7 linked regions of the Sus scrofa genome follow. The protein of the gene in region 2 purifies or fractionates together with the protein of the main gene of each other region. This does not show direct contact. Links are inferred from orthologs where the notes say so. Each region holds a gene or a part of one and is shown on either strand. Other genes may lie near its edges.

Region 1 (4,105 bases), on a different chromosome or scaffold from region 2:
CCTCATCTACGTGCGCTCCCATCCGGCGGCTCACGGGGGAGGGCCCAGCGCCCAGAGCGGCAGAGCACCGGCCCAGGGTCGCACAGCAGCTGGGGCACAGGGGCTGCTGACTGTGCCCGGTCCTCCGAGGCCTGAGCCTGGTGTGGTCTCCCCACCATGCCCGCTGCCTTCCAGATGCGGACGCAGCAAGAAAGAGCCGTGGGGGCCTGAGGTTGGCCCCTTGGGGGTGGGGGTGGGAGTGGAGCCAGGCCCGGGCCGGGTCTCCTGACTCTGAGTCCTCCGTGCTTCCCGCTGCCCCACATCTGTGGGCAATTAGAGCCCCAGCTCCTCTTCCCGCAGGCAGGCGAGGGAGGGGCTCGCGGTCGGAGGAGGGGACGGGACGGGGCCTGAACGGGGCCCTCCTCCCTCGCCACACACCAGGCCCCGGTGGACCCGGAAGCAGGACAGGCCTGAAGCTGCCCCTTCTGGGGAAGAAGGAACAGGCCTTGTGGGGGGATGAGGGCTCGGCCCGGCCGGGTTCCGTGGGAGCAGGGGGTTACGGCCTTGGTCCCCGGCAGACCTCGGCCTAAATGCCACCTCTGCCGGCTGTGCGACCCTGGGAAAGTCGCAGCGCTGCTCTGACTCACTGGCCTCGTGCTCAAGGCAGGGCTCACGACAACACAGACGCCAAAGGCCTGCGAGGGCCCAGGGTCTGTGCCCGGCACAGGGGAGGAGGTGACAACGGGAACCAGCAGGTCCCCAGGGGCCGCAGCCTCAGGGCCCTGCTGCTCAGGGCAGGGGACGACCGCTGGACGTGAGGTGTCACTAGAAGGGCGGTCGCAGAGGCAGGGGACTCCCTCCTGGACATAGAGAAGCATCCGAAGGATCCCCGCGAGGTTCCGGGCAGGCAGCGGAAGGAGGGTGGGGGCACGCGGTCTCCAGCGAGTCCCTCCCCTCATGGCCACCCTTTCCCAGCCCCACTGCCCTCCTAGGGACACGGGGACCAGAACCCGAGACGGGGAAGCCTGGCGCCTGCCATGTCAACAGACGCGACAGCAAGGCTGCACAGAAGGGCATGGCAAGCCTTGGAAGAATGTAAACCCAGAAAGGCTGCCTGGAGGAGGCAGAGGGGGGAGGTCCCTGGAGGAGAAGGGCCGTGGTGACGAAGGGCCTGTCCACAGGCAGGGTCGCGAAAATCCCTCCTGGGATCCTGGGATCCGACTGGCAGGAACACCAAGCCCGAGCCTGGAGGGTGGGGCAGGACGCGTCCTGACTCCCCAGCTCCGCCGCCCACCAGCCACGCCGCACCACTTTGTGGCTGCTCTGAGCCTCAGTCTCCTCCCACGTAAACTGGGTACAAAACCGGACCCTGCCTCTGGAGTTGCTGGTGCGCGTTACACGGGACCGCGCGTGTACACACCACGCGAACAGCAAGTGGCCGTGGTGGCAGCCGCTGTCAGGAGCCGGGGCTTTCTACAGGCACAGAAAAGGAACCAGAGATCAGATTCGGGCTTGGGGGGAGCGGAGAAGGAGGGAGACCACCAGGAGGCCTGAGCAGCTGCCTGGGACTGGAGGAAAGCGCCCCACAGCCGATCCCCCTTTTCCAGAGAGGAACCCCCAGATCCGACGGTCGGATTCCAGACGCCCAGTCTGGGCTGCGGGACGTGACCGCCAGGACGGGCCTGCCGTGGCCCCATCGCCTTCGCACTTTCCCAGCCGCTGGGGGTTTGGAAGGACACTTTAGGAATCTGGAAAATTTGCAAATCCATTTAAATCCTGAGACGTTGCCTGGCGGCTGACTGGCCTAAAGCCAGACAGACTCTCAGGGACAAGGCTTGGGCCTGGGGACAGAGGCTGCGAGTCTGAGGTCCCTGGTCCACGCACCCTGCCAGCCATCTCCCAATTCCTCTCTCACGTCCTTCCCGCTCTCCCTGCCCCTCCCGCAGGCGGTTCTATGCTTTGGAGGCGCCCCTGCCCCACTTAGCACCCAGCAACCTCTGGGGTTTGCTTGGGGCAGGAGGCGTCCACCCCAGAAGCAGCCGGAGCAGGAGGGAGCTCGCTCCTCCGGCCCTGAGGTCGTTCACAGCCTCCTGGCCACCTCCCATCTGGTTTTGTTAAAAATATTTTCCATTTTTTGACCTACCCAACAAGGCGCAGTCTGGGACAAGGGGACAGGACCAGGGGCTGGGCTTCTCTCCTCTTTCCGGCACTTACCTTGCTGCTGATGCCTCCTGTGGTGTGGGCAGGGTCCTGGGCTCTGGCTGCCGCCCCCTCCAGGAAGACCTCCACACCGCCTACTCTCTGCTGTTACCAGAAAGACGTTGCTGGACCCGAAATGGGGCAGCAGCGGGCAGGGAGGCCGTGAGGACGGCTGCAGGCTCCCGGAGCCCCGGGAGAACCGAGGGAGTCGGGGGCTGCAGGGGTGAGGAGTGGCCTCACTCCGAAAGCATCCTTCTGGAGCAGCCGGGCTGCCAGGAAGGGCCGCCCTGGTCTGGCTGCTGCCTGGTGGCGCTGGTCAGGGGGGCCCGGCTCCCTCCTCCTAGTCCCTCCTCCTCTCGGGCTCCAAGTGGCTCACAAAACGGTCCTGGGTCCCAGACGGGGTGGGCAGGGACTGCGGGCTGCTGGCTGCCCCGGGAGCTCACACCACTGTGGGCTTGGCTGCCCCCCCACCTTGGGGGAAAGGCTGCAGGGCGGCCTCTGATTGGCTCAGCTGGGAGAAGGGGGCCGGAGCGGGGAGGGTGGACGCGTGCGTCTGTTTTCAATTTTCAGCCCCCTCTCTTCTCCCCCAAGTTTCTTGTTTTTCTTCCTCTTTCCCTCTGCTGCTCCCTCCCGTAGCCTGCTCGCTCAGGATGTGAGGGGATGTTTAGAAATTCCGCAGCCCACGCCAGCCAGCGGCTGAGTCACTTTTATTAAAGAGTGGCTGGCCCCACTCGCCTGCTGCCTGTCTCGGTGGCAGCCTCCCTTCGCCGTGGCGCCTGGGGGCGGGTCCCTGCTCTGTGCTGGGCTCTCCCGTCTGCAAAGGGAGCCCCGATAACCTACCCGGTTGACTCAGTCCCCATCGGTTCACCTGGGTGCACTTCCTGTGCTTCAGCCCCGCGCAGGGGTGGGCGGCCATCCTCGTTAGGGCGGGGGGCTGAGAGTGGAGAGTGCACGAGAGAGGGCGCTCGCCGAGGCCGGAGGGAATTGGAATGGGCTTCGCAGGAAAGGGGGACATAGACGAGGCAGAAAGCCCTTCTGAGGCCACCGGTCCCTCCTCAGAGGAAGAAGTCGAGACCCAGGCGTGAACAGCAGAGAGGGAGAGCGACCCGCCTAAGGACACCCAGCAGGCTTCCGATTCCAGGCACCTTCCTCCATCATCCCCAAACCCTGGAGTACCAGAAAGGGTTGATCCCTCATGGTCTAGACCAGGAACTATAGCCCGCAAGTGAGTGTCCCAAAGTCACAGCTACGGCGGAGCCGAGCCGGGTCTCACGCGCGACGTGATGGAGCAGAAACAGGCCATCTGAGGCCGACAGCTGGCCCTCTGCAGTGTCACCAGGCGCCCCCACCCACCTTCTTCCTGGGTCCCTCTCGCGCATTTCCGCGTCCGGCTACCTGCCCTTTCCGTGCTCCCGGCCCCTCTGCTCCTCCACGCCGAGATCCGCCAGGGTGCCTCCAGGAACCCCGGGCCTCTCACCCTCACTCCTTGAACTCTCGCGTCTCAGGTCAGAACACGTCTCTAGGCACAGACTCCTGGCCTAAGGACATCATTTGCGAACAGCTTAGAGAGGAGTTCCTGTCGCGGCCTCAGTGGAAACGAATCCGACTAGTACCCATGAGGATGTGGGTTCGATCCCTGGCCTTGCTCAGTGGGTTAAGGATCCACCGTTGCCGTGAGCGGCGGTGTAGGTGCAGACACGGCTCGGATCCCGCGTTGCTGTGGCTGTGGTGTAGGCCGCAGCTACAGCTCTGATTCGATCCCTAGCCCGGGAACCTCCATATGCTGCAGGTGGGGCCCTAAGACAAAGTAAATAAATAAATAAATAGGCTTAGAGAGTCGAGTGAAGTCACCCCCCCACCCCACTACTGTGCACACGGGGAAACGGAGCCCCAGGGAGGGAAGAGAGGCGTCCGGGCACCCAGGTAG
Region 2 (3,500 bases):
ATCCATGATGCCCTCCAGACCAGGTGGACACACCTGTGTGTACACACCCTCCCCGACACAGGCCCATGCTGCCTCATACGCCTGCTCCCTGAGGCATTCATTCATTCATCAGACTTTAAGGGGTGGCTACCTGGGCAGGTGCCAGGGAGCCAGTGGGGGACAAGTCCAGTGGAACCCTGTCCTCAGGGAGCTCACAGTCCAGGGTGGCACCCAACTTCCCTTAATCCCCTCCCAGGATCATGAGAGTGACAGAAGGGAGCTGTGCATGCAATAGCAGGAGGGCTGGGTGGAATCCTGGAAGGCTTCCTAGAGGAAGAGGTGTCTCGGCTTAGATCTGCAGAGGATGAGCAGTTGACTAGGGAATAGGCCCTGAGGAGGAATAAGCCACAGGGTTGGAGGAGCCGAAAGGAGGCCGTGGGCTTCAGGCGAGTGAGTGGGGGAAGGAGGCCCCAGGTAAGGCAGGGAGGCCAGCTGGGTTAGACCACTTAAGGCCTCAGAGTTCCATGTGGGGGTTTCAAACTCCAAGGTCACCCCTGGAGGGTTTCGATCTGGGGGAACAGGGCTCAGAGTGAACCCAAGAGTGGTGGCCCAGGGGATGGAATGGGGTGGCAGCTCCTGGAGGGAGTTGGAGGCCCAGCTGACAAAGGAGGGGAAGCTGGCGCTCTCAGCAAAGGCCACACCTGCACGCTGAAGCCTCAGACACACAGCACCCGTGGAGATCTGCCCGCAGCGGAGCACACAGGCCACTATACGTCAGTCCTCCTGGGCAGCCCCGGACATCCACACGGCTCAGCCACATTCTTGCACACGTGGCCAGGCCCGGGCCCGCCACCTGCGCGTGAGCTCCCCGCCTGCCACGCTCTTTCCCCCTCTCTGCTTCGATCGATCTAGCCGCCCCCTCCTTGTCTCCCGGTAACCGGTTCTAACCGGTCCTAGGGCTGCAGAGACAAATGACACCAGCCTATGCCCCCTCCTTCCCGGCTCACTCCTCCAGGCAGCCCCCTCCTCACCAGACAGCTGCTGGGAAGAGAAGGAGGATGGAGGGGCGGGGGTAGGGGGAGACGGGGAGGAGGGGGCCTAGGGAGGAAAGAAGGAAGAAAGAGGGGGAGGGAGGAGGGGAATGGAAGGCGGGAGAAAGGGGAAAGGAAGAAGGGGGTGCGAGACGGGGGCCCACATCCGCAGGGTGAGAGAAGCCCTGGCCTTTGTCGGCCCCAAAGCCCCCCACCTCAGGGTCTGCAGCTCCCAGGACAGGCCAAGACTGCCCCCCATACCCTCGGAGGGCTGAGTCTCGCCCGCGCCCAGCTGGCCCCCCGGAGGCCTCCCGACACTCACTGGAGTAGTAGGCCACCAGCTGCTGCAGGCTGTTGAACTGGGTGCGTGAGGTGATGTAGAAGCCGCCGCTGTCCAGCTTGCGGATCTTGTAGTGCTTCACATTGAGGCCCTTGGCGTTGTCGAAGTCGGACACAGAGAGGCAGTAGGCGCCTGCAGGGGCGGCCAGAGAGGAGCGTGACCAGCACGCAGACACCCCTGCCGCCCCAGGCCATGGCTCTGAGTGCACCTGCCCGACACAGGAGGTGAGGGAGACCAAGGCAGAGCCAGGTCTGGTCCAGCCCGTCTCTGAGCACCCCGGCTCTGGGGTGGCCACAGGGCCAGGGCCAAGTGACAAAGGGGCACCTGACTGGTGAGCCTTTTCATGCACTCTTGGTCTTGGCAAGATGTCTGAAGCCCGGGTGTGCATCCCAGCGGTGTGTCTGGGCCTCAGTTTCCTCCTCTGTACAATGGGGCTACTCCTAGGGCTGCTGGGAAGATTCGATGAGATCACATATAAGGGGGCCTGGTACACAGCAGGTGCTCAATAAATGTTTGCAGGGAGCCTAACGGGAAAGGCCCCAAGTGGCTGTGTGTTCCTGGTCTAACTGCCTCCCATCTGCGGGTCCACCCAGGGAAGCACTGTCCATGCCCTGCCGCTTCCTGAAGACTCCAGGCTCAGGCAGGTGCCAGGGGTTGGCTGAGGCTGGGGCGGTCATGGGCAGGGGACCATGTGCTGGGTGTGGCCTGAAGGCTGCCAAGGCTAAGCTGGGCCAGCCCTGGTGGCCCCCTTACTGTTTATTGCCTTTGAGTCCACAGAACCCCTGGACGATCCTCAGGGTGGGCTTACAATCTCCAGTGTAAAGAAGGGAAAATGAGGCCCAGAGAGGGAAAGCAGCTAGCCTCAGGTCACCCAGCAAGGACTTGAACCTGTACCTAGGTCTCTACAGCCTGCATGGGACAACTATGACTTTCTGCAGATGGCCCAGGCCATGTGCATGTAGAAGCCACAGGCCTGGGTCTAAGGCCAAGCCCTGAACACATGTGCACACTCACAGCCATGCCCATGTCCAGTGGCTGCCTGTGCAGACATGTCCACACCCCCAAGGACAAACCCACAGCAATTCACTCCCACACAGCAACACACAGACAACTCCACCCCCCGTGCACACACACATGCTGGGACCCACACATGGCATGGCACGGCCACACAACTGCTCATAAATGCACACACATGACATGGATGCTCTGCTTTCCCATCTCCTACTGAGCCCCAGGCCCACAGAAGCGGGAGCTTTGTTGCCATGGTGATGGGGAAGTCTGCAACCCACTTGCAGAGGGGCTGGAGAGAAAGGGAGTGATCATTCTCTGGCAGAGGGGAGGGACTGCAGAGGAACAGAGGCCAGGACTGTTGGAGGAAGGGCAAAGCCAGGTCCCAGCACCCATTCCAGCCCCCAAGGCCCCTGGAGAAGAGGAAGGAGAGGGCCCATTGCCTCAGCACCCTCCCTGGGAATAGCTCTGTGACCATCAAACCTCCTGACGACCTGTACCTGTTCCTCATCTGAGGAACCTAAAGCCAGAGAGCTTGGCCTCTTTTGCTGCACCTCTGGCCACCCCAGATAACTCAGTGCTCCTTAAAAGTACCTCCCTGCCTTTGAGCCTGTCTTTTCTCCAGCTGGAGGGCTGTTCCCACCCGACTCCACATACCAAACTCCTATTTATTCTGCAACACCCAGATCAAATAACCCACAAAGGGCTCAGTTCCCACCGGCCAGCAGAAGCACTCATACCTTTCGTGGTTTCGCTTTCTCGCACTAAGAAGGTCCCTCTTGGGTTCTCCGCATTGAGCAGTAACCTTTCTGACTCGCGTCTGGTGATCTTGCCAAAGTACCACCTGGCGTGGGAGGAAGAAGGATGGTGCTGGTAGTCCAGGCTTCTGCCCGCCTACAGTGCCTCTTCCTGGAATTTGGCTGGGCCCGGGCAGTCAGCCTCCCACTCCAGCCCAGGAGAGCAGCTCGGACCCAGCAGTGGCAGTGAGCTAGCAGGAAGCCAGAGTTAATACTCACTCCTCAGCTTGGATGGAGTCGGAAGGTGCCACGTAGTTGCTGGGGATGTAGCCCGTCTGTCCTGTGCTGAGTGAGTGGGCCAGCCACCAGTCTCCCTCTCTGAGCAAAGGGAGAGGGAGGGAGCAA
Region 3 (4,056 bases), on a different chromosome or scaffold from region 2:
TATTTTTGGTTTTACACACACACACACACACACACACACACACACACACGATTTGGTACCAAAATGTCCAAGGTTGTTTGCTCACAGAGGACTTCTTTTCCATGCTGGTTATATTTGTTGCCAATTTTCGTACAATACTTACAGATATATACTATTTAAAACACTGATATCATTGCTTTTAATTTCCTTTCCCCTTATTGGTAGCCAGGAAGAACCTCTGAAAGACTGTGGAGGGGGTAAAGGGTACAGTCATCATGAACAAAATAGCAGCATCTGAGGTGAACCCTGAGGCTGATGGGTCAGCACACAAGCACATCTGTACGATGAGCAGAGCAGCCGTCTGTGCCTGTGTCACACAAATCTGTGTGGGTGGGGGGAGGACTTATCCGTCCTGCCAGTTACACATTCCAGACAACAGCCACCAGCTCCTCAGTTGAATCTGAAGAATGATGAACACACACACTCACCCTGGGTGAGTGAACACATCATTTGATGTCTACTCATATTTCTGGCAAGAAACAATGGCGGCAAGAATGGGGTCATTGACCCAGACTCTGGTATCTGAGTGGTTCTTGGAAAGCTACCGTGTTGGTTTTAACAAGGTTATTTCAACTTAACCAGTCCTTTATTCTTAGAAGTGGAGGAGCTGGCAGGAATATTAAACTCAAACAAACAAACTTCACAAAGATGAAAACTTTACTTTTCATGTCTGCAGCAACACCAACTTCATTTTCACTCTGAGTCTTAAGTTCAGGGGTTTATAAAACAAATCCACTGTGCTAGGCTTTCTGGCTTTCTCCATCTTTTCAGGACAGGTCTTAATTTCTCAAAGGCCCCCAACTGGTTAGATCAACCCCAAGACTTTGGGTAAAGCACATGTACTCTATGACTGCTCCAACCACAATGGCATAACCTTCAGTTCAGCCCAGGGATGTGGCTTCACAGGTCCAGTCCCTGGGACCACAGGGAGGATTTAAAAGAGAGAAATGAGAACATTCCTAGGCTTCCTTGCATGTATACAATGAGCCAAGACACATGGTTCCAACAGTCAAGAACTTCCTGTAAGGAAGACTCCATCGGAGCCACTGGTGACCAAGAAGGCAGTCTAACAAGACCCACAGGGAGAAATCAGACATGTAACAGAAGCAGTTCAGGACCGGCTGTCTTTGTCGTTATTAGCAATGCCTTGATGCCTGATTTACACCATACTCTTAATGGAGGATTCTTAACTGTTATCACAGACAAGCAGAAACATCTCAGACAAGGCCCAGAGTTTCAAGACAGCTCCCAAGTGTAGTGAGCACGCATTTTTCTCAAACACATTTTCATGTGCTAAATCATTCCTTATTCTTAAATTTTTTTTCTCTCCAAAGAAATCCTGAAAACTCAGTCCTAAATTACAATAAATACGTACACAATATTTCCCATGTCCCATCTACTGTGCAGCAATATGTCACTGACGCTGTCGGAGAAAGGAACCAGGAAGCTTTCTGGTCTCGGATTTGTCATGATGGCAGTTACCGGAACGCCCAAGTTCACCTCAACCGCTTAGTCGGATTTTTTAATTTACTCTAATTTACCTGCCTGCCAAACACAAACGCCCCCTTAGTTGCAGCGAAGGGTAATCGAAGACCGAAACTGCTTCTTGGATAGCTCTTTAAAAACCACAGAACCTGTACTAGTCTCAGGAAAGACCTCAAATCAAACTCTTACATGGAGACACCAGGTTATTTACAGTGCTAACACTTCCAGGGCCCGCAGGGCACCTCCGCGCTGGCCCGGGCAGCTGGGATGTGGCGGTTCCTGCCCCCACCGGAACTGGGAATTCGCACCCCACCCAGGACCGCCCCCTGCCGACCCCCTTCCGCCTTCAGGGTCCTTCACCCACAGGAGCAAGGGGTCCGGGGGCGGGGGGGGCCCTAGAGACTCCGCGGCCTAGAAGCGCTTTCATTTTGTAATTAATGTTCCTGAACTTGGGGAGAGCGAGAAAGGCGCGTGCGGACCGGGGAAAAGGTGAGATAAAAGGTGGGATATCGTGGCGACAAACTACTGTTTTTCTCACACCTTCTTCTCTGGCCCAGGAGCTGAGGTAGAAGGTGCGCCGGAGAGGGAGGTTACCTCCTCACGCCCGGCCGGCGCCACCAATAATCCAGGTAAAGCCACCTCAGCTAGGTCTCGGGGGCTCGGCTTCCGCGCGCCCTTCTTTCCTCCTTCTCGGTCTGCGCCCGGATCTCACGTCCACGACCGCGGGGCTCCCGGTTTGGTACACCAACACGTGCCACGGCCTGCGCCCTGTACGAGGTCGCGCGCAATCCAGGAGGGCACGGCCACCGCGCCCGACGCGGCGCGCCCAGCAACCGCGCGGTCCCGGACACCCGGTCACCCCGACTGCGCCGTCCTCGCGCCCCCTGTCCCCTTCGGCGCCCCTCCCCCGGCCCCGCACTCACCCACTCCGCTGGACAGACGCGAAGCACTCAGCAGCAGAACCCCTAGCACTGCGACCGTGACCCCAAAGTTCAGGCCGGCCATGGCTGCGGGGCGCCTCCGCCGCGGCGGGGAAAGCGACTGTGGCGGGTGGTTAGGAGCAGCGGCAGCGGGCGCCCGAGCCTGGCACCCGCTGCGCTCGCCCCGCCCAGGCTCGCTCACCTGCGCGAGGGCGGACTGGCTCCGGCCCCGCCCAGCGCCGCCAGAGCACCGGTTGGCTGGGTCAGCCCTCTCTGTCCTCCTCCCCTTCCTGCCTCCGCACCCGCCTCTCTCGCCCAGAGCGCTGGGGCCGGTGGCCACCTTCTCTAGCCCCGTCGCCCTCCCTCTCTAGGCCGAGAGTGATCAAGTCCATTCACAGGCGCGAAGGTCGCCCCTGGGGAATCCACTCCGACTCCTTTCACTGTCCAGCACACCGAGGAGGCCACTGTGCGGCCCATTTTTCAGAGGAATGAGGTCTGTGGATCACCCAAGCCCTGGCTTCCGTCTCTGCTTCCTGACCGGCTGGAGCCTCGTTGGACTTTAAAGCCAGCCGTTCGTTGCTCCAGCTACTCTTCGCAGGACTATGAGCCTGCATTCTGCTCCAGGCACTTCATCCGCAGTACTTTTTTTTTTTTTTTTTTTTAATCTTTTTAGGGTGCGTCTGCGGCACATGGAAATTCCAGGCTAGGGGTCTAATTGGAGCTACAGCTGCTGACCTACACCGCAGCCACAGCAACGCAGAATCCGAGCCTCTTCTGCGCCGTACACCACAGCTCCTGGCAATGCCGGATCCTTAATTCGCTGAGTGAGGCCAGGGATTGAACCTGCGTCCTCATGGATACTTGTCACATTCGTTTCTGGTGAGCCATGAAGGGAACTCCTCATCCGCAGTATTTCTAATTTTCATGGCATCCCTTCCACATAACAGATGAAGCAGACCTAATGAGTTACGCAACCTGCCCAAGGTCACTAGGTTAGTTAGTAATTTATGGAGGCAGGAAGGGGTTTCCACAAACGAGGTTACTTTATTACATTTTTGGAGAGCGAATGGATGAGTGAATAAATGCATGAGTCTGGAAAGGTCCAAGAGAAGAAACCAGAACAGACCCACAGGAACCGCTTCCTTGAGTTGTGGATAGTGTATACTGGATGGGCTTGAGGCATTCACATCAACCATTGTGCTGTAAATCAGTGGTTCTGGGCATCTTTCCCTCCTCCTAGCTGCAGGTGTGCCACCTTTCTCTGGTTTCCCAGGTTCTGTGGATTCTCTGCACCACATACCAAGTCCTGAGTCACAGGGCCAAACAGAGAGGCTATGGATGGTTCAGGGACTCTCAACCAGCAGACCAATGATTCCAAGCCCCGGGGGGGTGGTGCCTGTACCAGTGGGCAGTCAGGAGGCTGGGCCAAGGTCACCCAGAACAATCTGGAAGCAGAGCCCATGTAAGAGCATTAGTTAACAGTCCAGCTCCCACTTTTGTTTGATTCTTAGGGGAACTGAGCTTATCCAGGATACTCCTACCTACTTTCATTGGGAACAGGGATGAGAAACCATCTCTTAGGAGCTTCTTCCTCTTCCTTCTACGTGTCTTC
Region 4 (3,500 bases), on a different chromosome or scaffold from region 2:
TAATTTTTATTCACTCATTTATCCAACATAAATTTAAACACCTACTGTGTTCGAGGCTCTGTGTCAAGTCCTTGAGATAGAATGATAAGCCAAACAGACATTGGCCTTTCTCTTCTGGACCTCACAACATATTGGGCTTGTTCGTATTTATCGTGATCATAGTAATCCTAAGTACAAGCCATGCCTTTCTCTCTTGAGGCTTTTAGCTTTTGGTTTGTGCTATATAGGGTATTATAATGCTGTGTATTATAGTAATTTGCATATGTATATTATCTCAACCACACTATAGGTTCACTGAAAGGTAAGTGCCACCTGCCACTTTCCATAGTGTAAGCACAAAGCCATGTACATACTAGTTACTCAGTGAATTCTGTTGTGGTTTGGTAGACCTAGAGTTAATCTTTGGCATAATTATAACGCCTAGTATGTTTTTCGAGGATTCCTTTGTCCTGTCAGAATTATGCATTTTAAAAGGGAAAAAAGTAATAATTATTTCAATTCTGTTGCTTCTAATGTGTCTCCTTTCTAATCCACCAACAGCCTATAGCTGTTATAAGTAGAACTCACTATGGTTATAAGGTGCATATTAAGTTTTTAAAACCTGAATAACAAATCCACTCATGTCTCCCAGTAAAATGACTGTCCACATGCATACAATGGAATGTAAAAATAATGTTCTTTTAACGAAATAGCTTTTGACTTGGTAATGAACAATATGTTGTTTTTCCCTGAGAAATAATTCTAGGACTTTAGTCCTAAAGATATTTTATTTAATACATTTTCAGCTTGCTGTTTTTACATTCCCAGTGATCTTACATTAAGTTAAATATTTGTCTATCCAAAACAATAGGTCAGTTATAGCCAAATTATAACTGTACCTTTCCTCTGCACACACAAAAAAAATCCTATAACAGCATGTGATCATATTGCTTCTAGAATTTATGATTGTTTTCTTCCAAAAGGAAGCTAAATTTAGCCTAGTAATTCTACATGCTCCCAAGGAAACAATGCCTGCTGTGATTTCTAGGATAAATGAATCTGCACCACAATTCCTTTACTTGACTGAGAAAGTTTAAATATCAACCTAGTCATTAACCACAGATATTAAACCACATTAAACAACCAGCAAGGGGTTAAGAAAGAAATTTGCTATGTTTCTGATTTCACTGCTGAATGAGTCTAACTTAGTTGCTGTATCGTTCTTAATACAGAACATTGTTTGCATCTCATAATGGGTCTCTAAAATTACTTGTTCATGGGTTGAGTTCTAAAATTAAACTGTGTAGAGTCATATCCAACTGCACAATACATCTTTATGTGAAACCAGCTAGAGTTTTTTGTTTTCACTCAATGTAAAAATTCCAGTTAGGAAGACTTATTTCTCATAATTTAACTGGTAAAGTTCTTTCAGTTTCTTCTCTGTTTCTAGTGACAACTAAACTGTTCTCGCCTTGAACATGTTTTGACAGATAAACTTCTCACCATGAAGGCCCCTGCTGTGCTTGCACCTGGCATCCTTGTGCTTCTGTTTACCTTGGTGCAGAAGAGCAAGGGAGAGTGTAAAGAGGCACTGGTAAAGTCCACGATGAATTTGAACATGCAATATCAGCTTCCTAACTTCACTGCGGAAACACCCATTCAGAATGTCGTTTTACACAAGCATCACATTTACCTGGGTGCCCTTAACTACATTTATGTTTTAAATGACATAGACCTTCGGAAGGTTGCTGAGTACAAAACTGGGCCCGTGCTGGAACACCCAGATTGTTTCCCATGTCAGGACTGCAGCCACAAAGCCAATTTATCAGGTGGCATTTGGAGAGATAACATCAACATGGCTCTGCTTGTTGACACGTATTATGATGACCAACTCATTAGCTGCGGCAGTGTCCACAGAGGGACCTGCCAGCGGCATGTCCTTCCACCTGATAATATCGCTGACATCAAGTCAGAGGTTCACTGCATGTACTCCCCACAGGTAGATGAAGAGCCCAGCCAGTGTCCTGACTGTGTGGTGAGTGCGCTGGGAACCAAAGTCCTGCTGTCTGAAAAGGACCGGTTCATCAACTTCTTCGTGGGTAATACCATAAATTCTTCTTACCTTCCGGATCATTCATTGCATTCAATATCAGTGAGAAGGCTAAAGGAAACGCAAGATGGTTTTAAGTTTTTGACAGACCAGTCCTATATTGATGTTCTACCTGAGTTCCGAGATTCCTACCCCATTAAGTATGTCCATGCCTTTGAAAGCAACCATTTTATTTACTTTTTGACAGTCCAACGGGAAACTCTCGACGCTCAGACTTTTCACACAAGAATAATCAGGTTCTGTTCTGTAGACTCTGGATTGCATTCCTACATGGAAATGCCTCTGGAGTGTATTCTCACAGAAAAGAGAAGAAAGAGATCCACAAGGGAGGAAGTGTTCAATATTCTCCAAGCTGCATATGTCAGTAAGCCTGGGACTCAGCTCGCTAAGCAAATAGGTGCCAACCTGAATGATGACATTCTCTATGGGGTATTTGCACAAAGCAAGCCAGATTCTGCCGAACCAATGAATCGCTCTGCCGTCTGTGCATTCCCTGTGAAATATGTCAATGAATTCTTCAACAAGATTGTCAACAAAAACAATGTGAGATGTCTCCAGCATTTTTATGGCCCCAACCATGAACACTGCTTCAACAGGGTAAGTCACCACAGGTCCCCTACTTACATATTATGTGGTAAAAGTCAGAACTGATAATCAGTCTAGAAAAGACTATCAAAGGCTTTTTGGTGCTTGGTAAATGGTTTTTACCCAAAATATCTGCTAATTCTTTCCAAGAAAATTTAGAAATTGAATCTTCGTTTAAAGGTAAGTCATAACTTGAGAAAAATTTAATGTGATTACCAAAAGAAAATATAAAATATTTTTACAATTTGTGTTTACATGTTTGCCATCATTTTTCAGATTATTAAACTTATTTCTCATATAAGTTTTAGTAGTTGTGGTAATATGTACATAAATTTTAATACAACAACAGTTCCTGTGAAATACAGTTATTGAGATCCCATGCAATCTTTACAACTTTTAGAGTAAGTTGCTCAAGTTAATTTGTAGGTTTTGCAGACTTTTTTATGAGACCCCCATTTGCTCACTGATATATGAATAAGCGGTCTATATTCTTAGCAATACTTAAAGGAATTTACCCAAAAGCAAACAAACAAAATCCCTTCTAAAATGTTGAGATATAAAACATTTTTAAGTGTGCTAATATACTTCTATGAATAAATTAGAAAACTAGATATGAAATTTTTGCTCTCAAATCTCTCCTTTAGATTTTGACTTCACTTATGGACTTCCTGCTTTAATAGGCATGTGTCTACCACGTTCTAATTTGGTGCTTTTTAACCTGGTTGATATTTGAAATTTATAGATATAAATATTTTTGGTTAATGATCGCAGTTACATGAAATGATATTTTGACAGAAAGTGTTAGGGAAATTCTTTGTTGCTTTGA
Region 5 (3,500 bases), on a different chromosome or scaffold from region 2:
AGCAGAGGAGGGAGACAGCAGTGGAAAAGAAACAGTCTTTAATTACCCTCTAGAAGGGTTTAAGTCTAGAGGGGATTCAGGTAGTGTTTGCAGTAGAGCCCATAGAGGTAACCTTGAACCCAGGCTCGAAGAATCAGGAAAGAAGCCTTGGAGGTCGTTATTCAGGCAATGAGGGAAAGTGGCACAGGGCGGGGGCAGCCTACGGAAGGCCTGGCAGGAGGTTCAAGCACCTGAACGTTCAGGGGTTCCTTTCGTGGTGCAGCGGAAATGAATCTGACTAGGAACCACAAGGTTGAGGGTTTGATCCCTGGCCTTGCTCAGTGGGTTGAGGATCCGGTGTTGCTGTGCACTGTGGTGTAGGTCGCAGACACAGCTGGGATCCCACGTTGCTGTGGCTATGGTCTAGGCCAGCAGCTGTAGCTCCGATTTGACCCCTAGCCTGGGAACCTCCATGTGCCACGTGTGCGGCTCTAAAAAGGAAAAAAAATTAAAAAACAAACAACAACAACAAAAAAACTAAATTGCTAGCAGGATCCGACCTGGTGTAGACCAGCTGGATCCATCACATGCCAGTCACCCAGCTGGGTCATTGGCAGCCTACCTATGACACTGGGGATTGTCCCTGTGACCATATACTCAATGCTTAACACGGGGGAGGCTTTCAGTAAACGAGTGAATCCATGATGAATGAATGAACACTTTCATTGGGGAACCAAAAGTGCTGATTCTCTCTGTCCTCTGAAACACCGTCGTCCAATGCTCATCCATCCACCCAGGAAATATGTACTGAATTCCTACTAAGTGCAGACACCTGTGCTCCAGGTGTTAAGGATATAGCCCTGGATAAAAGAGATAATGCCCCTGCCCTTATCGGCTTACTTTTTTTTGTGTGTGGTTCTATTTCTGGATTTTTTTTTTTTTATTTCCCCACTGTACAGCAAGAGGGTCAGGTTATCCTTACATGTATACATTACAATCACATTTTTTCCCCCACCCTTTGTTCTGTTATCGGCTTACTTTTGAGGGCCGCATACAGACAATACACAGGAGGAGGTAGAGTACGTTTTTTTGTGATAAGTGCTGTGTTGAAAAGTAAAGCCAGGTAAAGGAGGAAGGCGTTCAAGGGAACTTGCAAGTACGAGGGCTTGGAAATCTAACAGGCTCTGGGGGTGACTCTTGCTCTGCCACTTGGTAACCCTGCAATTGTTGGGTTCTTCTCAGCTTCAGTTTCCACATCCCTAAAACCAGATTCATAATACCTACGTTCTTACAGAGTTGAGTTTGAAATGAAAATGTATGTAAACCAGGCATATAGTGTTCCACAAAGAGGATCTATTACTATGATTTTTGAGTTTAGTAATGCTTTCTTTCTTTCTTTCTTTTTTTTTTTTTTTTTGTCTTGTCTTTTTAGGGCCGCATCTGTGGCATATGGATGTTCCCAGGCTAGGGGTCCAATTGGAACTGTAGCCGCTGGCCTCCACCAGAGCCACAGCGACTTGGGATCCACACCGCGTCTGTGACCTACACCACAGCTCACGGCAACGCTGGATCCTTAACCCACTGAGTGAGGCCAGGGGTGGAACCTGCATCCTCATGGATCCTAGGCGGGTTCACTAACCACTGAGCCACGATGGGAACTCCTAGTAATGCTTTCTCACTCCTGACCCTGCCATGGGGCCCGAAATGGGATGGAGGGATCCGGACAGTACTTGGCACAGAGGAAAGAGAACTGTGACATAATAACAGAAACATCAGATAACCATCACTGAGGGCTTACTCTGTATGAGGCTCTTTGTGGCACAGTGATGCCATTCAGCCCCTGTGACAGTCCTACAGTGGTGTCATTACCCCCATCTCAGAGTTGTGACAAGGAGAGGGTCAGTAACTCACCCAAGGTCACTGAGTGGCCAGGCTGGCCACTGAGGCCACAGCCTGCACCTGCTACCACCACAGCTAACTGCTTACTTGCTCTGCACTGACTTTTCCCCACGAGCGCCCCAGCCCGGCCCAGGCACATCCCTTCAGGCCAACAGGAGCAGAAGTATCTCTCAGCTCTCACTGCCCACCCGGGATTGCAGCACAGCGGCTTCTGCAGCCCGCCGTAGGCCGACACCCTCCAGCGGCAGCCTCACCTGTTATGTTGACCATGATGCTGCTGACTTTGGAAATGCGGCTGGCTTCCACTTTGCACGTGTAGTTGCTGTTGTGCTCCACCGTGGCCATCACTGAGTACACGGCCTCGCTGCCGTTCCTGCTGTGCGCCACGATCTCCTTGTCCTTCTGGATTATGATTTCCGGGAATGACTGGGCCTGGTGTGTCACTTGAATGGTGCACTTGATGAGGAGCTGATCCCCTTCTATGATCACTCCCTTGGGGCTGATGTGGAACTTGGGATTAGAGAAGGATTCTACGGGAAGAGGACAAGCTGGTTGGACTCAGGTTCAGACCTGCGGGAGGGAAAAAGCACGTCCTCCCGCTTTCTCTTCTTTTGGATGTCAACCAGTTTTTCCTTATTAATTAAAAAGACTCAACCTTCCCTCTCAAAAACCTTCATGGGCGGCTCCAAGGCTCCCCCCTCTTCTTGCTCACTCTTGCATCCTCGGCCTTCTTTTTAACTTCAATGCTCTCTTTCTTGAGCTTCCCAAAGACCAAACCATCTTCCCTAGACCTTCTTCAAATGACCTCAGAAATAATCACAGCAGTCGAAACAGACTCTTTCCCTGCCACACATCAAGGATTTTCTAGGTAATTCTCACACCGTTCCATGGACTCTCTGGCATTTCAGCCTAGATATTCTATAGCTTTCCAGAGTGCAGCTTCATGGAAATGCATATTTAAATGATCACATGCCTCCCAAAGTGATTTCTAGTCTATTCTATCTCTTTTTAAAAAATACTGGTTATGGGAGTTCCTGTTGTGGCTCACCAGGTTAAGAATCTGACTAGTATCTGTGAGGACACAGGTTCGATCCCTGGTCTTGCTCAGTGGGTTAAGGATCCGGCGTTGCTGTGACCTGTGCTGTAGGCCGGCAGCCACAGCTCTGATTTGACCCCTAGCCTGGGAACGTCCATAGGCTGTGGGTGCTTTAAAAAGCAAACAAAACAAAACGAAATAACTGGTTATAATTGACTAAACTGATTTCATGATTCACGTGGTTTGAAAAACCGTTTTAATAAAATATGGGCCAGATATCAGGGTGTGGATCTTCAGCGGATGTGAGGGAAGTAGGGCTAGGCCTTTGTGCTTGCCAAAAAAACAGCAGAGCGTATGAGAGTATATACACAAATTACAATCATGTAAAATACAGATAAGGACATTAAAAAATGTCAAAGTGAATATAGAGTGATACAATATTTAATATTCTTTTTAAACTGTAAATCACTTAAATTCACAATAAAAAATTATCATTTTTTTAAAAAGTCTGTTTTCCTGCGTAAAGGTCATAAAAAAGAAAGGGCATCTTTTAGGATACTCTGGGGTACCTTAATAACTAAAGGTT
Region 6 (3,500 bases), on a different chromosome or scaffold from region 2:
GCGTTGTCGTAGGTACTGAGAACATAGCAGTCAACGATTTAGACAGAAACGTCTATCCTGAAAGAGCTCACGTTCTTAGGTGCCATGGGGACGCAGGAAGTGAAACATAGTCGCTTTCTTAGCATCCTGCTGGCTACCAAGACACAGAGCCACATAACGTGCTGCCACGGGATGGCTTGGCCCCTGATGTGGTAGGAGTTCAGAGCAGTTGACCTTGAGGAAGGAAGGTCAGTTGACCTCGGGGAAGGAAGCGGATGAGGGCGGAAGCTGGAAGGGGATGTTATAGGCTGGGACTGAGCGTAAGCAAAGCTTCAGAAATAGGACCAGATAGGGAGTTCCCGACGTGGCTCAGCGGTAATGAACCCAGACTAGCATCCATGAGGACGCAGGTTCTATCCCTGGCCTCGCTCAGGGGGTTAAGGATCCGGCGTTGCCGTGAGCTGTGGTGTAGGTCAAAGACATGGCTTCGATCTCATTTGCTGTGGCTGTGGTGTAGGCCGGCAGCTACAGCTCTGATTCGACCCCTCGCCTGGAGCCCTCCATAGGTCGCAGGTGCAGCCCTAAAAGAACAAAAAAAGAAAAGAAAAGGAAAGAAATAAGACAGACTATCAGGGGCGATAGTGAGAAAGTAGGGGGAGCTGGGGGACGAGACGGAGGGGCTTGAAGGGGGACCAGATGGTGTCAAGGCCACATGCCCACCTCTGGGTTTTGGACCAGGTTCCAAGGCCGCGGGAGCCATGGCAGCCTCTTAGGCCAGAGAGGGATGTGAGGGTCGCAGGGCAAGGGGTGGCGGCAGGTGACCGTGGTGTCTTCTGCTCTGCCATCCCCTCTAGGAACTCCGTGCGTCTGGTCATCCGGAAGGTGCAGTATGCCCCGGAGAGGCCCGGCCCCCAGCCCACCGCCGAGACCACCAGGCAGTTCCTCATGTCGGACAAGCCCTTGCATCTAGAGGCTTCCCTGGATAAGGAGGTAGGGGGCTCGGGCTTGGCGGGGGGTGGGGGCTCTCTCCCCGGGGCGGAAGCCTCGGATCCCAGCTCTCGGGGCCTCTGGGACTCCTCGGTAGGAGCTTCCGCCCCCAGCCTGAGGACCACAGGGCTCGGGATCTGAGACCTCCCCTGAGGGATTTGGAGAAGCCTCCTGGGGACGAAAGGGGTGGCCCTTGACTTCAGAAGTCAGAGTACCCCCAGCGGGGTCCTGGGTCCTGGCCCTCCCCCTGCACCCCCATCCTCCCTAGAAGCGTGAGCACCCTCTCTTCCTCTTGGAGTGGGGGCAGCTGAAGGCAGGCTCTTGGGCCAAGATGCGAGTCGAGGCTCTTCAAGGAGGCTTCAGAGCTGCTTCCCCGAGTGAATGGGTCAGTCCTTCCCCACCTTTCTCCAGCTTCTTTCAGACCCTCCTGAGTCTAAATTCCAGGCAGCCGGAACCAGCTGGGCTTTGATATGTCACCTGCTCCTCGTACAGGGCGGTTCCTTAGGTAACCTGTCCAAGGTCCCACCGCTCTGATCCTCATTATTTTTATTGTTACTGTTGTCATTACGCCTGGGGACCAACCCAGGACTGGAACCCAGAATGGTCACCCTTTAACTCGTCATCTTTCACGGTCCCACAAAGGCACTTAAGTCTAACATGCCTGGTGGCTTAGCATCAGTGGGAAGTGTCTGATGAAGTTGGGGCCCATGTCAGAGTGGCCAAGGCCTGGGGAACCCCAGGAGAAGTCGGGGATCGGGGGGAACCTCCTCTCCCTTTCTGTCACCTCGAGCTTTGGAATCCTCCCAACCACCCCTCTCCCTCCCTTCTCACGCCCCCCAGATCTACTACCACGGAGAGCCCATCAGCGTCAATGTCCACGTCACCAACAACACCAACAAGACGGTGAAGAAGATCAAGATCTCGGGTACCCGGGCGAGGGCCAGCCAGGGGGTGGCCAGGAGGGACTCTTCCCAGGGGTCGGGGTAGCCGAAGGCTCCTCCTTTGCTAACAGCCTTGTAAATAACTACTGGCCCGCGGGGAAGCGCAAGGCCGGCTCTAAACCAAGGGTAAGGCTTTTGCGGCTGGTAGCACCGGCCACTTATGGTCGGTAGTGAGTTTACTGCTGAAGTCCCTTCTTCCCTTAGTTCCCTGGGTTCTGGGTAGAGCGGTCCCGGAGGGGGAGATGTTTGGTTGTGGAAGAGAACGGGCACGTGGGGCTGCCCTTCGGGGAGAGGAGGGGTCCGCCTCCTGCGGAAGCGCCCGGTGGACTCTGGCTGAGGCTGAGCACCCCAACTCGGGGAGCCTGGGATGCCTGGGAGCTGCACCCTGGCTCACCCCACCTTGCTTCCCTCTTCCTCCCCAGTGCGCCAGTATGCAGACATCTGCCTTTTCAACACAGCCCAGTACAAGTGTCCGGTGGCCATGGAAGAGGCTGAGTAAGTGAAAACAAGCCCAGCTCTTGTGGGGGGGAGGGGTTGGGCGAGGAACGGAAACCACTACAGGTCCACATGGCTTTTCATCACCTGACAGAGGGCCTGGCCTCAGATGTCCTTGAGCAGACGATCCTGAACAGGCTTTTAGCAATTAGCCACTTGGTTTAGCTACACAGAAATGCATGCTGCATGCAGGCAGAAGACCAATGAAAGAGAAAAAGACAAAATAAAAGCTAGTGAATCTATGAGGATGGGTTAGGGAAAGAAGAGAATAATTACACTGTACCAGAAACCTAGATTGAAAGGTGGGACTTTGCTTTGAGCTTCCTGGCAGCCAAGGCAAAGAGAGTAAGGCAGTAGGGTCACAGCTTTTCTTGTTGGATAAAGGAATGATCCAAGTCATTGCGTAAAAAGGTTTGTGTGGGAGAGTAGAAAATAATTATACCAAACTAAATCTAGTTCGAGGAAGGATGCTGTGGTTGAGCAGGAAACTTTGTCCCAAGTTTGTTAAGGCAAGAGGAGAGTTTTTTTTTGTTTTGTTTTTTGTTTGTTTGTTTGTTTTGTTTTGTTTTTGCTTTTTAGGGCTGCACCCACGGCATGTGAAGGTCCCCAGACTAGGGGTTCAATTGGAGCTGTAGCCGCCAGCCTACACCACAGCCACAGCAACGCCAGATCTGAGCCATGCCTGTGACCTACACCACAGCTCACAGCAACCCTGGATCCTTAACCCACTGAGTGAGGCAAGGGATTGAACCTGCAACCTCATGGTTACTAGTCAGATTCCTTTCCACTGCGCCACATGGGAACTCCAAGAGGGGCGATCTTATGTGAAACATTTTTTCTCACTCAAAAGAAGTAGATGGTCCTATTAGAAGACATACCTCTTTTTTCTCCTGCCCTGCAAATAATCTTTTAGGGCAATTGCATTTCGTGTAATTTTTCATGTATGTGTGTGTTTATTTACATACAATAACAGTATTTTTGTAATCTAAAAACATTTTTAAAATGTTACTATCTGGTCTTTGAGATTGTTCTTAATACCACGTAGGAAAACAAGTGATGATTGGATCAGACATGTCCCTGTTATTGGATATTTCTTTT
Region 7 (3,500 bases), on a different chromosome or scaffold from region 2:
GTTTCTCTAGGCAATTTCTCTTCACATGTGCCCTAGAAACTGGGAGGGAACACCAAGGAGAGGAGAAAAAGAAAGGGATTGGCACAGAGATAAGCTCCCTGAATTTGCCTGATTTCCCCAGAGACACAGCCTCAGCTGCACGGATTCTGTGCAAGGCACAAGGTTAGAGAAGGGTAGAGAGTGGCTTCATGCAGAATTTACAAAGCTCTCTGCTCACTCAAATGATCCTCTCGCTGACCATGAGCTGCACCCCAGAGATCCAGGTATTAAGTGTAGCAGCCCCCACCCACGGGCTCGCACAGGTCTTAGCCCCATCATCACACTCCTCAGGCAGCGGATGTCTTAACAAGTTCCTCGTAGGTGCCACTCTGTTCTACATCTGGAACTCAGCAAGGAGTAAAGCAGAAAATACTCCCTGTCCTCATGGACACAGAGACCTCACTGTACTACAACGGCCCTGTCCACTTATTCACCACTCTGGCACCCTCCTGATCGTGGTAGGCATTCCACAAATATGTGCCTATTTGCATAAATGAATGCCCAAGAATGAGGCAGAAATTTCCCTGGTTCAGGATAATCCCTTGCAGGCAACAGTGAGTGACCCCACCATCAGGATTGGAGAGAACCACTTAAGTTTCTCTTTTTAATACATCACTTCACCATGACTGGCTTCCTTCTGCTTTGAGGACTTGTGGTAAGATAAGGGCTGACAAGTCTACTTCATAAGCGCTAGAGAACAATCTTCGCACCGCACCTGAAAGTTTAAGGCATACCCCAGAATTGGCTCCCTACCTAGGACTGTGAGCTGCCTGGCCACGCAATGTCTTTTCTTGGTCTTCCTGTCCTGAGCAAAGCAGACGTAGTCTCCTTGGTCCTGCAAGGATGCATTCTGCAGTTCCATGATCAAAATGTCATTCGTGCTATTAGAGACCATGGTAGCATTCATTTTCCAAAGAGCATCCAAGTTCTTGCAAACAGGTGTGGGCAGCTCTCCCGTGTGGATCGGCAGAGCCTGTGGGTCAAGTCTGTACCACGTGAGGTTCTCAAACATAGTTCTGTCCGCGGAGCACAGCAGAGACACGGTCTCCTGCTCGGTTGGCTGGATGCTGGGTTGCAAAGTGATTTCCGGACCCCCTGAAATGTAAAACTCATGGTTAGAAGGCAGTGATTTAACTTGGGCAGAGTGCTATTGCTTTCTTGTTGCCTTTAGTCTGCAGTAAAGCACCACAAGAAATGAACCTGTAGCATTCCCAGATGATGGGATGCAAGGAAACAACCAAACTGGACAATTTGGGTTTCAAGATGCATTGTTTTACCAAAATACATTATGTGGAAGTGTAAATGAATGCCTCAAATATTTATGAACTCTTCACTTTGAGTTCTAACCATGATTTTTAAGATTTAAAAAACAAATTCAAAGCATATAATCATAACATGGGATTTAAAAAATTAATTCTGGAGTTCCCATCGTGGCACAGCGAAAACGAATGAGACTAGGAATCATGAGGTTGCAGGTTTGATCCCTGGCCTCACTCAGTGGGTTAAGAATCCAGCATTGCTATGAGCTGTGGTGTAGTTCGCAGACGTGGCTCAAATCTGGTATTGTTGTGGCTGTGATGTAGGCCAGCAGCTATAGCTCCGATTCAACCCCTAGCCTAGGAACCTCCATTTGCCACAGGTGTGGTCCTAGAAAGACAAAAAGACAAAATAAATAAATAAATAAATAAATAAATAAATCCTCAGAATTCCCATTGTGACACAGCAGAAACGAACCTGACCAGTATCCATGAGGATGCAGGTCCGATCCCTGGCCTCACTTAAAGGGTTAAGGATCCGGCATTGCCGTGAGCTGTGGTGTAGGTCACAGATGCAGCTCAGATCTGGCATTGCTGTGGCTATGGCGTAGGTCAGCAGCTGAAGCTCACATTCGACCCCTAGCCTCAGAGTTTCCATATATCACAAGTGAGGCCCAAAAAGCAAAGCTAATAATAATAATAATAATTCCTCCTTAATATAGAACACGCACTGACAAGAAAGCTATGTATATGACAATGAATTAGCCCAGACTGAAATATTTTATCCAGGTCAGTCAGGTAAAGCTCAGCCATAAAATTTAGATGAACAACAAAATCAGCATCGTTGGGAGGACACTGCTCCAAAGCTACTACAATTGCCTCCCAAACCCAAGCTCATCAACTGTTCAGCAGCAAGCCCATACGTAACTGACTGAAATTCGAAAAGCCAAGCACTGTGCTAGGCTCTGACCTCAGAGACAAATGTGTGACACAGGACTTGAGGTTCAAAGACAGGTGTGAACTCATGTTCTCTCTCCTGCGTCAGGTGCAATGATGTCACGGGAGTCCAGGAGCTGCCTGAGGCGTTCTGATTGATGAGCAAAAGCCTCAATTATCCATCCAAGTCCCCTTCCTAAAGCCATACCACTCACAGGAGGGCCCAGGGCGACAGATTATGGACAGCCCAGCCCCCCAGAAGCACTTACTGGTCACATGGAAGGAGATAACCCTCTCTCTTCTCCCGGCTTTGTTCACCGCCTCACATTTGTACAAAGCGGACACATTGGCTGCTTGGATAACAAGGGTACTTACAGTCTGTGAAAAAAAAAAAAAAACAAATCTCAGGCCATAAACAATAGAGGCTGTGTTTATGCATGTGCATTCAGACTAAAATTCAGCGTCCCCACAACTGCCGTGACCTGCCTACCCCATTCATATGCCAGCACTGACCGTGCTCAAATCTGTGCAATTATAATTATGCTGGTACAGCTCACACATCATACAAAATGAGCTTTGGAAACCAGGAAAGAACGAATGTGTTTTAATACAACATTACACACATTTTCATGTTTGCAAAATCAGAATTAGCATACAACCGATGTACTGAGTCAATGGTATATGTTTTTATTCTTCTCTGATAAGGTAGCAGGAAGATAGCTTCTAAAAGTCAATGGTTTTCAGGCTGACTTAATATGCTAGTATTTTATCATCCAACTTACCTGAGGATCAATCTCGAATATTCCTCACATATTACTTTACGCTGCTTTCGCTCCATCCTTTCATAAATGAGAGGTAGATTTTGCAATTAAAGAACTTCAGACTCACCTTGTTTTTTCCTTCAATTAGGGCAAACTGATTTTTGTTGACTTCAATTCTGTTTCCCCCTTGGAAGTCCTCCACGTTTCTCCATTCTTTACAAGTATATGGGTTTGTCGCTAGGGCAGCTTGGCTATATAAAGAAGAGGCAACAGATGATATCATAACTGAATTTTTCTTTAATTCAAATCCATAGCAAGGAAAGGCGTCAGACTTAGGTTATGATGTTCTTAGAAATAACTTCCAACCCACCCTACCACGTTACGAGACTTGGCGCCAATTAAAAATAGGTCTCGGCAACGAAGGAAAAGGTTCTAGGTAGATTCATTCAGGATACAGGAGGGAAGCAGCTATTCTGGGAACAAACCTCCATTCATAAACTGGATCGAC

Evidence for each region.
Region 1: the proteins of SRC (region 2) and PDGFRB purify together in Homo sapiens (affinity purification with western blotting; 4 studies listed by BioGRID and IntAct, with this or other methods). This does not show direct contact. The link is inferred for Sus scrofa from reciprocal best matches to the Homo sapiens genes SRC and PDGFRB.
Region 3: the proteins of SRC (region 2) and CDCP1 purify together in Homo sapiens (co-immunoprecipitation; 4 studies listed by BioGRID and IntAct, with this or other methods). This does not show direct contact. The link is inferred for Sus scrofa from reciprocal best matches to the Homo sapiens genes SRC and CDCP1.
Region 4: the proteins of SRC (region 2) and MET purify together in Homo sapiens (co-immunoprecipitation; 4 studies listed by BioGRID and IntAct, with this or other methods). This does not show direct contact. The link is inferred for Sus scrofa from reciprocal best matches to the Homo sapiens genes SRC and MET.
Region 5: the proteins of SRC (region 2) and PECAM1 purify together in Homo sapiens (affinity purification with western blotting; 3 studies listed by BioGRID and IntAct, with this or other methods). This does not show direct contact. The link is inferred for Sus scrofa from reciprocal best matches to the Homo sapiens genes SRC and PECAM1.
Region 6: the proteins of SRC (region 2) and ARRB1 purify together in Homo sapiens (affinity purification with western blotting; 3 studies listed by BioGRID and IntAct, with this or other methods). This does not show direct contact. The link is inferred for Sus scrofa from reciprocal best matches to the Homo sapiens genes SRC and ARRB1.
Region 7: the proteins of SRC (region 2) and KDR purify together in Homo sapiens (co-immunoprecipitation; 5 studies listed by BioGRID and IntAct, with this or other methods). This does not show direct contact. The link is inferred for Sus scrofa from reciprocal best matches to the Homo sapiens genes SRC and KDR.

Annotation. Positions count from the first base shown.
Region 1 is NC_010444.4:151,190,019-151,194,123, forward strand, and holds the start of PDGFRB (platelet-derived growth factor receptor beta), read right to left. Parts: upstream 2,801-4,105; 5' UTR 2,194-2,800; intron 1-2,193. UniProt on the Homo sapiens protein: Tyrosine-protein kinase that acts as a cell-surface receptor for homodimeric PDGFB and PDGFD and for heterodimers formed by PDGFA and PDGFB, and plays an essential role in the regulation of embryonic development, cell proliferation, survival, differentiation, chemotaxis and migration.
Region 2 is NC_010459.5:40,512,489-40,515,988, reverse strand, and holds part of SRC (proto-oncogene tyrosine-protein kinase Src), read right to left. Parts: intron 3,474-3,500; coding exon 3,375-3,473; intron 3,203-3,374; coding exon 3,099-3,202; intron 1,483-3,098; coding exon 1,333-1,482; intron 1-1,332. UniProt on the Homo sapiens protein: Non-receptor protein tyrosine kinase which is activated following engagement of many different classes of cellular receptors including immune response receptors, integrins and other adhesion receptors, receptor protein tyrosine kinases, G protein-coupled receptors as well as cytokine receptors.
Region 3 is NC_010455.5:28,316,566-28,320,621, forward strand, and holds the start of CDCP1 (CUB domain-containing protein 1), read right to left. Parts: upstream 2,801-4,056; 5' UTR 2,530-2,800; coding exon 2,448-2,529; intron 1-2,447. UniProt on the Homo sapiens protein: May be involved in cell adhesion and cell matrix association. May play a role in the regulation of anchorage versus migration or proliferation versus differentiation via its phosphorylation.
Region 4 is NC_010460.4:29,510,527-29,514,026, reverse strand, and holds part of MET (hepatocyte growth factor receptor), read left to right. Parts: intron 1-1,469; 5' UTR 1,470-1,483; coding exon 1,484-2,686; intron 2,687-3,500. UniProt on the Homo sapiens protein: Receptor tyrosine kinase that transduces signals from the extracellular matrix into the cytoplasm by binding to hepatocyte growth factor/HGF ligand. Regulates many physiological processes including proliferation, scattering, morphogenesis and survival.
Region 5 is NC_010454.4:14,684,643-14,688,142, reverse strand, and holds part of PECAM1 (platelet endothelial cell adhesion molecule), read right to left. Parts: intron 2,409-3,500; coding exon 2,133-2,408; intron 1-2,132. UniProt on the Homo sapiens protein: Cell adhesion molecule which is required for leukocyte transendothelial migration (TEM) under most inflammatory conditions.
Region 6 is NC_010451.4:9,533,199-9,536,698, reverse strand, and holds part of ARRB1 (beta-arrestin-1), read left to right. Parts: intron 1-833; coding exon 834-969; intron 970-1,806; coding exon 1,807-1,891; intron 1,892-2,329; coding exon 2,330-2,402; intron 2,403-3,500. UniProt on the Homo sapiens protein: Functions in regulating agonist-mediated G-protein coupled receptor (GPCR) signaling by mediating both receptor desensitization and resensitization processes.
Region 7 is NC_010450.4:41,835,868-41,839,367, forward strand, and holds part of KDR (vascular endothelial growth factor receptor 2), read right to left. Parts: intron 3,244-3,500; coding exon 3,120-3,243; intron 2,610-3,119; coding exon 2,501-2,609; intron 1,135-2,500; coding exon 793-1,134; intron 1-792. UniProt on the Homo sapiens protein: Tyrosine-protein kinase that acts as a cell-surface receptor for VEGFA, VEGFC and VEGFD. Plays an essential role in the regulation of angiogenesis, vascular development, vascular permeability, and embryonic hematopoiesis.